2 linked regions of the Caenorhabditis elegans genome follow. The protein of the gene in region 1 interacts with the protein of each later gene in a pairwise test. Each region holds a gene or a part of one and is shown in the gene's direction. Other genes may lie near its edges.

Region 1 (7,640 bases):
TACTATGAATCAGAAAAATAGATAATCAACGAAAAATCAACTTTTGATCAGGAAGAAACGCTACAAAAAAGTTCTGGAAAATGCCATAAAAATTCGAAAAATTCCCCGAGTTATTTCCTTGTAGAAAACTTTTTTTCAAAATGTTTGAATTTCTTATAAAATTCTAATTTTATACATGTTTAATGTCCGACTTCCTTATTCTCCACACATACCTCCCATAGACCCAATTCCATCCAATTTTATCGTTTTTTCAATCGAACATCAAACTTCAAGGCAACAAAAAGCATTTTATTACGGTCGGTCATTTCATTGACCACCACAGTCAAAAAAAGAGAATGGAATTGAAATAGGCTATTTATATACATACAAATGATGAGAATATTCAAAAGACAACAAAAGTTATTCAATTATCAGCTTTTTATCTCCCTTTTCCTCAGGAAATTTCATATAGTCTCCAAGAACATGAAGACCCATTTTTTCGATTATGAAAGCTTCGCCAGATAATCGGTCAGTTGTTGGAGCATCCTCGATTGGTTTCTCATTCTGGAAATGGACAACAATTAATTTAAGATCCAAAGTGTTTGACTTCAAAATCATTCAAAGTTTATGACAAAAAATTATGTTAGCCTCCATTGCGTGTGTGTAAAGTACCTCGTCTAACCAAATTCCACAGGTTTCAGTGCGATTCTCCTTACAAAAGTAGAATAACTGAATTGGTGGTTTTCCTGCGTCGAGCTCTCTTCTCACACCCTCTGCATTCTTCCAGTTTTGCTTCCATTCACATTTAGTCTAAAATATGCGCATTTATTTGTATTAAATTCAGAGCTTTCTTACAAAGATTCACTTATACAGTGTGAGAAAGTTCTATAGGACCCCCCTCATTTTTGACGTTTCACCTATATTGAAAATTTTTTTTGAAAAATTTTTTCCGTAGATTGATTCAAAATGTCAAAATATGTGGACACAAAAATTTTCAGACTTGTACCTCTAAAACTGGCTGCGTACGGAAAAAAGTTGGAAAATCAGGTGTGCAACTTCTATAGGACCCCCTCATATTTTTGACGATTTCACCGGAAAAAAATAGTTTTTGAAGTTAATATCACGTAAATAGTTATGAAAATGAGAATAAACACAGTTTCAAGCAATTTCATATTGGCACTTGGTGGTTGACCCACAACTGTCCTCTAACAGTCCTGTAACAGAAGTTTCCACGTGTCATCTGCCCTATCACTACCAAACTTTACAAAATGATACATGACACTGTTCTAACAACATCCCTAAGTTTTTGGAAAAATCCGAAAAGTTTGAGCCCCGCTGCACCGCTGAAACCGTACATGGGCCTCATTTTTCAGGCCGTTTCTCCGTTTCAGTGTGTATAACTCGGGTCCCGGTGAACCCCCGACATTGAAAATTGTTCAATGAACTCTCACAATCATTGTGAGTGTATCTGTGATTAGCAATAAGGATTTACCAGCCTCTGAGTTGAACCAGAATAAAATTGTCAATAGAGCAAGTTTTCTGTACTAATAATGATGTTATTATGCATAATTTCATAGACTCAGGGTAAAAGTAAATTTTTAGAACATTGCAACCACGAAATCGTGACCATTTTTTTGTGGATGCTAGCGTAATGTTCATACGAGTTTATTGAACAGTTTTCAAAGTCGGGGGTTCACCGTGACCCGAGTTATACACACTGAAACGGAGAAACGGCCTGAAAAATGAGGCCCATGTACGGTTTCAGCGGTGCAGCGGGGCTCAAACTTTTCGGATTTTTCCAAAAACTTAGGGATGTTGTTAGAACAGTGTCATGTATCATTTTGTAAAGTTTGGTAGTGATAGGGCAGATGACACGTGGAAACTTCTGTTACAGGACTGTTAGAGGACAGTTGTGGGTCAACCACCAAGTGCCAATATGAAATTGCTTGAAACTGTGTTTATTCTCATTTTCATAACTATTTACGTGATATTAACTTCAAAAACTATTTTTTTCCGGTGAAATCGTCAAAAATATGAGGGGGTCCTATAGAAGTTGCACACCTGATTTTCCAACTTTTTTCCGTACGCAGCCAGTTTTAGAGGTACAAGTCTGAAAATTTTTGTGTCCACATATTTTGACATTTTGAATCAATCTACGGAAAAAATTTTTCAAAAAAAATTTTCAATATAGGTGAAACGTCAAAAATGAGGGGGGTCCTATAGAACTTTCTCACACTGTATAATGTCTAGTTTTAATAATTTTGTTTTTTTTGACAAAAGGAATTTTTTGAATTGGGATAAACTTACATCCTGTAAAATACTGCACACAACTGTATTTTCTGGTAGTCGAAAATCGGAAAATGGTATTGAAAAGCCAACAAGACTAGCAAAAGTAGAAATAAATAATATAGAAATGCGAGAGATTCGACTCATTTTCAGAATGTCGAGACTTGTCAAATGTCAAATTGTGTGAGAGAATTCGAAGAATAAGTGATAAAAGAGGAGAAAAAGAAAAAGACAAATGATAGAGGGGTGTAATGCGTAATACTGTCTAAAAATATCTTAACATCACGAAAAAGAATAAGGGAGGAGAACATAAAGTGACGAGATAGAGAGATATTTTTTGTATTTTATTATCTCTTTATCGGCATATTCCGTTCATCAAACACACAATTATCGGATACCAACTTGATTTGAACATTTCATTGAGTCATTCATAATCACAATCTATAGACTTTGAACTAACAAGGAAATGGGAAACAATCGAATACTGTAAAATTGTCAGACGAAATTATTGTTATTTCTATCTGAATTGTGCAAAGTTGAAAAAAATCCCACTGTTCTCATCATTGTGCCAAAGTTTCGTTTTGAAATAGTAATATTAATTGGGAGCTACACTGAAACTGGATTTTCAGTAAAAATTTTGAACAGCGAGTGTCGATTTTTTATGTTTATAATATTCAGCTATCAATTAATAAATCTGTAGTTTTAAAAAAAATTGGGTGTTTGGTTTGGAAGAAAATAATTTTTTTGGAAATTGAAAAATATATTAATTGGGAGCTAAACTAAAACTGGAATTTCAGTCAAATTTTGAACGGTGAGTACCGATTTTGTGTGGTTATATTTTTATCCAGACATTAATAAGTAAATTTGTAAAGTTTAAAAAATTGGGTGTTTGGTTTGGAAGAATTTTTTTATTCAAAAATTTTTATTTCAATTTATTATTCAAATTTCATTAATAAATTTCTTTACAATACAGCTTTCTTTCCCAATTTCTAAATCCTCGTCAGTTTTTCAAAAACTTCAAAATTTCCATGGAAATTGTGGGCCGTTAACGTATCCCAGCGATGGTCCTTCGATTCAGCCCGCCTTTTCGCTTTTCGACAACTTCATTTTTCAGTTGTTGTCTTTTCTGCTCTGAATTCATTTTTGTTTTCAGGCGAATTTTTACAAAACTTCTACAAGATAACCTTCCAGCTCATTGGATGAAGAAGTCAAACTTCTTTGTTCTATTGCTACTGGCAATATCGGCGGTGAGTGAAAAATCTCAGAAGGAAAAGCTGAATAAAACTACTTTTAAGATACAAATTGATGGATTGCATTACCAACTTCTTGACGGGATCGCAACTTTTCGATTAGACAACGATGACACAACAATTGGAGGAGTTCCAAGGAATTCACAAGGAGTCGTTAAAATCAAATTGAGCTGCGGATTGAATAGACTTTCAGTTGAGAACAAGGTTACGGAAGTTTCAAGTTTGGAATTGGTTAGTCGTGTATTTTTTTAGTTGTAAAACCTTGTTGTTCCTATTCAGATTCACAACTGCATCCAAACAGAGACCAGGCTTGTCGGACTCTTTTTGAACTCAACTTGGATTACTTTGAATGAAGTGAATGATGACGATGAGATCAGTATTGCTGTGGAGGCGAAATATGAAGTTTGTTATGGTAAGGATTATTATTTGGGGAAGGTTTTGTGCGTACCTATGTATAATGTCGGCGTTACTCACCTGGAAGACCTATGCCAACAAAGTCTTGACTTGGTTTGTGCCGATTAATCTTCTTTGCAAGGTACTCAAGTAGATACTCAGGTAGACACATAGGTAGGCTATGAGATAGGCATGAATTGCGCATTCTGAATCTGGTGAAACGTTATTTGCATATGTAGTGCTATGTGTTTCTAACATTTTAATAGAAACTCTTTCTCAGATGACGGTATCGACAGATGTGATGGCTCCCTATGGTGGCTCCAAGTCGGTGGAAACGAGATGGCGTTGCTGGGCTACCGAGAGAAGTGTGAGAGCGGAGAGATCAACGAAGAGTATGCGAGAAGAATGTGCAAGCGACCTTGTCAGTTCTTAATTGCTCATGAACATTGGCTAAACAGTATTTCAGATCGTTCTGAAAAGAGCACAGCTATCAGTGATAGTCAAGGAGTGTATTATGATGGGCAGGTACTTAAGGGTGTCAGGGCAAAACAGTTTAGCATGAGGACTTCTGGATCACCTACTTTGAGAAGAATGAAACGAGACGCTGTGAGTACGATTTCTCAGATAGTGTTTACTTTCATTTTATTCCAGGGTGATAATACTTGCGACTACACTATTGAGTCAACTTCAACCTCGACTACAACTCCAACTACCACAACCGTGACTAGTACCGTGACATCTACAACAACCGTCCCAACAAGTACAAGTACGGTGACTACCGCAATGAGCACAAGCACATCAACTCCATCAACATCCACCACCATCGAATCCACGTCAACAACGTTCACTTCCACAGCATCCACGTCGACATCATCAACTAGCACAACTCAGCAGAGTTCTAGCACAATCACAAGCTCGCCGAGCTCCACCACACTGAGTACAAGTATTCCAACCACTACAACACCCGAAATCACATGTGAGTTTCGGACGCACAATAATAATTACAAGCAAACCAGAATTTGCTGTTATGATTGAGAGGCAGGAATAAAATTGTTAATAATTTTCTTCAAACCCGTTTGTATTGCCAATATTTCAGATTTTATACAATTACAGTTTGCTCAGGGTAAAACAAAGCAGTCACTATTACCGATCACCTTGTTGTGCATTGTTAGTTATCCAGAAAATCCTTAACGAAAATTTTCAGCAACTTTGTCGTCTCTCCCGGATAATGCGATTTGCTCCTACCTTGACGAGACCACTACGTCTACCACTTTCACCACCACTATGTTGACATCCACTACTACCGAAGAACCATCTACTTCCACAACCACAACAGAAGTTACATCTACATCTTCTACTGTTACAACAACTGAACCAACCACTACTTTGACCACCTCGACTGCTTCAACGTCAACAACCGAACCATCGACGAGTACTGTAACTACTTCCCCGTCAACATCCCCTGTGACTTCTACGGTGACATCTAGTTCAAGCTCCTCGACTACTGTAACGACCCCAACAAGCACTGAGTCCACATCGACATCTCCTTCGTCTACAGTAACAACCAGCACAACTGCTCCTTCAACATCAACTACTGGGCCATCGAGTTCTTCTTCCACTCCAAGTTCAACGGCTTCTTCGTCTGTGTCAAGCACCGCTTCTTCTACTCAATCATCCACGTCTACTCAGCAAAGTTCAACAACAACAAAATCTGAGACAACTACTAGCTCGGACGGAACTAATCCAGACTTCTATTTTGTAGAAAAGGCAACTACAACGTTCTATGATTCCACAAGTGTGAACCTAACGCTTAATTCCGGCCTCGGAATCATTGGAGTAAGTACAATATTGAAGACTGCATTATTCAAATGTAACACTGTATTTCAGTATCAAACATCCATCGAATGTACAAGCCCTACATCTTCTAATTATGTTTCAACCACTAAAGACGGAGCATGTTTCACGAGTAATTGTTTATAAAGACTTATTATAAATTAGAGACAGGCAAAATCTTTAATTCTGAAAACGTTTCTATAAAAACTTCAAATCGGAAAAAAAGCAAACCTTTTTCGGGCGATAGTTATTTAGATTTTTTACACATATTTTTTCAATATATTCAGAAAGTGTATCAATGCCACGTCTCGGAGGGACGTACCCTGCTAGCACATTCGTTGGTCCTGGAAACTACACCTTCAGAGCAACTATGACAACCGACGATAAAAAAGTTTACTACACGTATGCGAACGTTTATATTCAGGAATATTCTTCCACCACCATAGAGTCGGAATCTTCTACATCTGCTGTAGCAAGCTCTACGTCATCTACACCATCAACTCCATCTTCCACATTATCAACATCCACAGTCACAGAGCCGTCATCCACACGTTCAAGCGATTCTACGACAACGTCGGCTGGGAGCACAACTACTTTACAAGAATCCACAACAACTTCCGAAGAAAGTACTACTGATTCCAGTACAACTACCATCTCGGACACATCCACAACTTCTTCCAGTCCGAGTTCTACCACTGCTGATTCAACTTCCACTTTGTCAGTCGATCAGTTCGATTTCATCTTGGACAGTGGATTGTCATGGAACGAGACACGTCACAATGAAGACAGCATCAACATTGTACCTTTACCAACTAATGCCATTACTCCTACTGAGGCGGGTTTAATAAATCGTTGAGCCAAATGAAACGAATGATTTTAGAGAAGCCAAACATTTGAATGCAGAAATGTGTCTACTGAGCCTTTTCTTATAATTAAGGAATCCACTTGCTTAAACTACTGTAGGATTAACAAACTTTTTGAAATTATTGAATTAAAGCGAATTTCCAGCAAACACGGTCCTAAACGCAACTTATTCTTCTAATATTCCAATTCAACCAATTGAAACATTTCTTGTTGGCATTGGCACCTATGAGTTTCGAATCAACATGACGGATTTGACGACAATGCAAGTGGTCAGCCACATTTTCACATTGAATGTTGTTGCGGATTCAACAAGTACATCCGAAGTTACCAGTACAACTTCAACTGGATCTTCTTCCGAAAGTTCAGCCATTTCCACAACTTCAGGAATTGAATCTACGTCGACTTTGGAAGCTAGCACGACTGATGCTTCACAAGACAGTTCTACATCAACATCGGATTCTGGCACAACTTCAGATTCCACCACCATAGACTCATCTAACTCAACTCCATCCACTTCAGATTCATCTGGTTTATCTCAAACACCATCCGATTCATCAAGTGCATCTGATAGCATGAGAACAACAACTGTGGATCCAGACGCAAGTACAGAAACCCCTTACGACTTTGTATTGGAAAATTTGACATGGAACGAGACAGTGTATTACTCTGAAAATCCATTTTATATTACACCAATTCCAAACAAAGAGCCCGGAGCTTTAACGGTAAGATATTCAAATCAATCTTACTTAAAAAAAACCTTAATATTTTAAGACTGCTATGACCTGTCAATGTCGAAACGATTCTTCTCAGCCATTTGTTTTACTGAAGGAAAGCAATTGCTTGACAGAGTGTGAGATTTTGCCTACTAGGGAGTGCTTTTTGTACTCCATGGAAATATGAGTCGGAAAACTACTTTTCCGGTAGTTGATATCATTTTCTACACGATTCTGAAAGAAAATCCTGCCGGTTTTGGGTTTTAGTGTGAAAAGTTTGCGTTTGAAAATACCACCCTAAATTCAGTTGATTTAACACTAC
Region 2 (5,963 bases), on another chromosome or scaffold:
CGGTAATTTCAACAGCATATGAATAGTTTTTAATAATTTCCCCATTAGTCGTAGTCCACTTTTAACTTTAATTAATAATTAAAACCATTAAGGTTTAAAACCGAATTTCAAAAAAAAATTTCGATATAGAAGACTAAGAATAAAATATAACTTTAAAGAAAGAAGTTATGAAAGTTTTTGTGAGTAAAATGAGTACCAATGTGTATTTTGGGAGGCACGGGGTTGGTGATGAACATTATGTGTTGTATTACGCATGCCATAGACCAGTTTTGCGCGGATTGCATGATCAAGTCGATTGACTTTTCGTCTTTTTCGATTAAATTGATAACCGATCCAGAATAATACTTATATAATTTCATTGAATTACAAAATTCAAATGAGTTAGTAAAAAACTAGAACATTCAGTAAAATTTCAAAGCTATTTGCAAACCACAAACTTGAAATTTGAAAAAAATCAAACATGGAAACTCTAGACAGTGTACACAGGACAAATTACACTGATTAATCTATATCAACTCGCCAAGTTTACAAAATTTCGTCGAAAAACTGATAAGCACATGCAAAAATTCGTGTGAATTGGCTCTAGATAGAAAAATATGAATTGGCTCTAGATAGAAAAAATAACTAAATCGATAATGTTTCGTGTCGTTTTCGATGTATTTTTATGGCTCGCTATCGGCAGCAGCTACCGCTTGTGGCTGTTGTTGGGCCCCTTTTTGACGAATTAGGTGAAGAGAATCGAACGGAAATGAAAATTTATATGAACACAGAGTGGAAGAGTGGTGAGAGAGAGAGAAAAGAACGAAAAGCAGGTGGAATCAACAATGAAAGTGCAAACAATTGTGCTTATAAACAATTTGGATTTGGATTTTTTTTCAACAATTTTTAAAAATTCTATTACGATGAGAAGTAAGAAATATGAATGGAATAAATAGAAGTCTGAACAAATTTTTTTGAAAACGAAAAATTGAACATTTTGTTACGAAGCGTTTTCAGGTTCTAAAGTATTATTTTTTAGGAAAAAACATTAAAAACGTCCCAGTAATCTACTTTTAATAATTTTGAACTAATTATTGAGTAACATTTAGTTTTAAAAGTTTAGAAAAAGCATGGACACTGAAAATTAAAAAAAAACATGTTTAAACAGAGAAAAAAATTTGAAAGATTAAAGGAGCGCGCGATTTGTAGCATGAGGGTCTGCCACGAATTCTACAGTTGTTCAGATCATTTTTTTTGAATTATTCCACAATCTTTCTTCTCTTTGGAATTTAATTTTTCTCGAAAGTTATTTAATTTTTCTATAAAAATGTGCATTGCAGTTTTAAAATGTTTTTTTTTTCAATTAAACGCATGAATGTGATTGGTACACGCGTGAGACGCAAGTTCTCGAAAATCTGCGATTGCGAAAGGCAAAAGTATTCATTTTTTCGAAAAAATAAACAAATTGCTCAAACTAAATTGAATATCGATCGTCTTTGCCCTCAATATTTTAAATATCACGCTTTTGAAAATTATTTCGAAATAAATATTCAGTTTCAGTGAGACTCATTCAATTGAACCTGATCACGTGCTGAAAGTCTGCTGTAACAATGAAGGTTTGTTCGTTTTCCTATCTCTACTTTAATTAAAAATAGTGTTAAGAGTAATTGTTCATTCAAATAGATTTTTTTTCATTCAGTAAAAAATGATTAAGTTTTCGGAAAGGAAGAAAACAAAACAAAAACATAGAAAAAAGTGTGCACGAACGAACACACAAAGCATATGCGTCAGTGTCTTAACCCGTCTAATGTCTCTTCATCCCCCTACACTCTCTCTTTCAGTTCACCCGACTAACACATTCAACAAGCAAACCCGTTATTGATTCAATTTTCTTTCGTAATATTCCTTTTTTATATTTTCAGAAACAAAAGTCATTTCCAATGTCTGCTTATGAGGATTTGCTCGGAAAAATCACTGCTCCAACTATCACTGTTGAGAATTGGGAGGGAATTCTCGCATTTTGTGATATGGTTCGTTCAATTTGTTTTAAAAAATGTATAAACCTTTTCACTGATTTATAGATAGAATTCTTTGTCGTTTGATAAAAAATCATATTTTAAAATTAAAATTTCCTCCTTAAATTTGCTAGCTGATTTTCACCGAAAATCATTGATTTTGGACTAAACTTAATGTTTTAGTTTAAAATTTTCAGATTAATAACGACTTCGAGGGATCGAAAACAGGAATCAAATCACTTCGTAAACGTCTCAACAATCGTGATCCTCATGTTGTCCTTCTAGCGATTTCTGTACTTGATTCGTGTTGGGCAAACTGTGAAGAAAGATTCAGAAAGGAAGTATCGTCTGCACAATTTATCAATGAACTCAAAGCTCTTTGTACATCGGTGAGTTTTTGTTTAAATCTGAAATTGTTAAACAAAATATCAAAATTTCTTTCATGAAGTTTTGTATTTCTTTAATAGATATAGTATACGCAGAAAAGAGATAAAAAAGAGAAATAGAGTTAGAAAAATAAGTATAATACGAAAATACGATACATTTCACCGCGTTTACAAAAAAAAATACAAAAATTTACAATTATTATAGAGTCAACGCCAAGTTGCTGAAAAAATGCGATTAACTGTTCAAAAATGGGTGGATACAGAATGCAAAACTGAACAATCACTGTCACTTATCGTCACTCTTCACAAAAATCTTGTTGCTGATGGCTACTCATTTGTTGTGGATGATCCAAAAAGTAAAACGAAAGCGATTGATGCAAAGTTTGCAAATGATCCGAATTATGTGAGTTGTGGAAGTTCGCGGCAATAAATATCAAAAATTAATAATTATTATAGGTTGGATCTGCTCAGGAAGAAGAAGCAATCGCAAAAGCCATTGCTGCTTCATTGGCGGATGCAGAGAAACAGGAAAAAGCAAAAAAATCAACATCCACAATGTATCCATCAGCAAAAGCAAGTAGTCCAGCAGTTCAGACTAATTCGAATATTCCGGAAAAGAATGTTCGAGCGTTATACGATTTTGAGGCTGCTGAAAGCAATGAATTATCTTTTGTTGCTGGAGATATTATTACAATTACTGATGAAAGGTAAGCAACAAAAATGTGTTCTAGTTTAAATTGAAAGCAATCGCTTAAAAATCAAATCAGGAAGTTCTTCAGTTTTTTTTTTTGTAATTTAAAATTAATCATACCGAACCTTTTCGTTACTGACTGCTTCTATCAATTATCAAAAAAAAAACAATTTTTTGCAGCAATCCCCACTGGTGGACTGGTCGTATTGGTACCCAACAGGGACTTTTCCCATCCAGCTTCGTTACTAATCAACTCGATGATCTAAAATCAAAAGAGACGGATTCATCACAGAAAGCCCCAGAAGTTGTAGCCTCAATTAATGAAGCAATCCTTGTTCGTTGTCTTCAAGTACTCCATGAATGTGATCCTACCGGTGAACGACAGGATCCAGAGGATTTGGCCCAACTAGAAGCCGCCTCGTATGCTCAAGGAAATCTCATTGATGCACATTTGGCTAGTATTGATCGACAGAGCAACTCTCTAGCACAAATCGATGTGGCTATTCGTGATGTGCTCGCACTTTATGATGATGCGATTCAGAAGGGAGGATTTCAGCATCAAAGTCAAGGAATGTACCAACAACCAATGCAACAGTACAACTATCAGCAACCAGTCAGTTTTTATTCAGAAAAAAATATTTAGAAAACTGAAATTTTTCATTCTAAGCTTCACGGTAATGCCTATCAATTCAAAAAATCGTATTTTTCAGCCAAACCGAGCATATTACCCACCTACCGGTCCTGTCCAACAACAGCAGCCACAACAATATCCTCCACAACACTATCCGGCTCCTGGAGCACAACCACAGTACGCATGCCCACCGAATTCTGTTCCCCAACCTCAACAACAGCAACAACAATGGCCTGCTCCGTCTTCACAGCCTCAACAATATTAACTTTTTGATTTGTTGTGAATATCACCTTTTCCTCCTTGAATCTGTAACTAGTTCCATTGATATTGTGATCACTTCTAACTTATTTTTCTCGATTCGCCACCCGTTTCTGTATAGTCTTTTGCTTCCTCGAGTTCTCGATAAGATAAAAATGAATTCTTTATTGAGTTTGAGGCAAATATTTATTATACACGAAAATAATCGGATAAATTGAGAAAAGGTAACAAAAATTACAAGAGGTCCGGATCAAAAGATGGCATTGAAATTGATGCATTGGCTGCTCGAATGGATCGTTTACCCCATCCACCGCCTCCCCATCCACCTCCACCCCATCCACCTCTTCCACCACCCCATCTTGATCCTCCCCATGGATCATTGTTTCCCCATCCACCACCTCCATTTCCACCCCATCCTCCATTATCTCCGAAATCGTCACGTCCCCAACCTCCACGTGGTGGTTGACGAGATGGATTAGTCTGACGAACTTGTGCAACTGGAGCAACTGATCCAGCTGTAGTTCCACACATTCTACGAAGCTCTGATTGAGTATAGCAACTGTTACAGCTTGATCTACAATTCTCAGCCATCCATGGATTTTTCTGACATTCACCGACACGAGCCCATCCGGCACATGATCTATGGTAGTCGACGCATGCTGAAATATATATTTTTTAATTATAAAAATATTTTTTTAAAAATAAAGCTTACATCCATAATTGTAATCTTCAGGATAGCAATGTCCACATGAAACTCGACAATTACATGCCATATATCTTGTATTTTTTCGGCATTCTCCCATTAATCCCCATACAGCACAGCAAACATTCTCATTGAAACAACCATCAGAATTATCACACTGTTGAGCTGGAGCAGGTGTCGTCGTGGTTACTGTAGTACCACCTCCTCCACACTCTTGAGCACGTGATCTACCACATTTATTACAACTTTTACGGCAATTTTCAGTCATCCAGAGTTGATTTTTGGTGCATTCACCGGAGCGGGACCAGCTACTGCATTGGGTATGACGATCAGTGCAATCTGGAAAATTATCGTAATTTTGCAGTTTTTCGATACACGAACTTAGAGGTGCATGGGTTTATTTGGTTTTTATGGGGCTTGGAGGAACTTTTATTATTTTTGGTCAGTTTTTATTTGTTTCATTTATGTGAGAGTTTATATTTTTCAATTTTATCTTTCTAAACATGAACGGCGCCGGAAAAATCTAATAAAGATACCATAAACTTTTTCCCGGTGGGACCCTTTCAAATAACCCCATGTACCTTTAATTTTCTGAAATTGCCAAATTACAATAGCAAACTTTTTAAAAAGAATTTTACCGAAAAAACCCTTGTGGTAATTTAAATATTTTTTAATTAAAAAATCCTAAAATACAAAATACACTCACCATCAGCCAGTCGATATTTGGGTTTACAAACACCACAACTGGCCTTACACCATTCATTCATATAAGCCGTATTCCTCGAACATTCCCCAGATGCTGCCCATGATGCACAACACTGATTCTCATTGAAACATGATTCTTGAGATTGTACTGGATTTTGAGGTGTTGGAGTTGTTGGAGCAGGTGTTGGACGTGGAGCTGTTGATGAGAGAACACATACACCGTTTTGGCAGATTCCTGAGAAACATGGATTCACACGGAATTGACCACATTGAGATCCTGGACGAATACGAGATACACAACGGGCGGCCCCGGTGGAAGTGTCACAGAAAAGGAATCTGAAATTTACAAATTCCAGTAAGTCTTCCACGGTAGACATCAAGAATATTCCAAATTTTTAGTGTGTGAAAATGTATCATCAAAAATGATCTTATATCTTGTACGACAATCTTTCAAGTTTCACATGAATTTTTTATCTTGAAAGTTTTTGATTCTAAAAAAATTAAACCCTGCCAAAAAATAGCATAGCTGTAATTTTTCAAATATTTGCGTAACATTTCCTAGGTTATTCTGATAATTTTCAAAAAAGTCTCACTT

The links. Proteins that work in one complex are often made in the same cells at the same time.
Region 2: the proteins of lov-1 (region 1) and stam-1 interact in a two-hybrid assay, tested with the Caenorhabditis elegans proteins (one study listed by BioGRID).

What each region holds. Positions count from the first base shown.
Region 1 is NC_003280.10:10,117,650-10,125,289, reverse strand, and holds the start of lov-1 (Location of vulva defective 1), read left to right. Parts: upstream 1-3,464; coding exon 3,465-3,512; intron 3,513-3,560; coding exon 3,561-3,746; intron 3,747-3,794; coding exon 3,795-3,927; intron 3,928-4,188; coding exon 4,189-4,329; intron 4,330-4,374; coding exon 4,375-4,514; intron 4,515-4,559; coding exon 4,560-4,884; intron 4,885-5,112; coding exon 5,113-5,744; intron 5,745-5,795; coding exon 5,796-5,874; intron 5,875-6,028; coding exon 6,029-6,576; intron 6,577-6,621; coding exon 6,622-6,700; intron 6,701-6,749; coding exon 6,750-7,327; intron 7,328-7,376; coding exon 7,377-7,455; intron 7,456-7,640. Other genes in the region: F27E5.7 (DUF2147 domain-containing protein), read right to left, coding at 400-543, 652-789, 2,287-2,412. UniProt on the Caenorhabditis elegans protein: Required for two aspects of male mating behavior: response to hermaphrodite contact and vulva location. Acts in the same pathway as pkd-2 and atp-2 in response behavior. May be required for ciliary targeting of pkd-2.
Region 2 is NC_003279.8:5,900,266-5,906,228, reverse strand, and holds stam-1 (Signal transducing adapter molecule 1), read left to right. Parts: upstream 1-1,533; 5' UTR 1,534-1,589; coding exon 1,590-1,595; intron 1,596-1,901; coding exon 1,902-2,009; intron 2,010-2,191; coding exon 2,192-2,383; intron 2,384-2,585; coding exon 2,586-2,783; intron 2,784-2,836; coding exon 2,837-3,087; intron 3,088-3,251; coding exon 3,252-3,684; coding exon of another isoform or gene 3,685-3,714; intron 3,715-3,781; coding exon 3,782-3,967; 3' UTR 3,968-4,124; downstream 4,125-5,963. Other genes in the region: tyr-4 (ShKT domain-containing protein), read right to left, coding at 4,195-4,619, 4,673-5,002, 5,370-5,704, 5,962-5,963.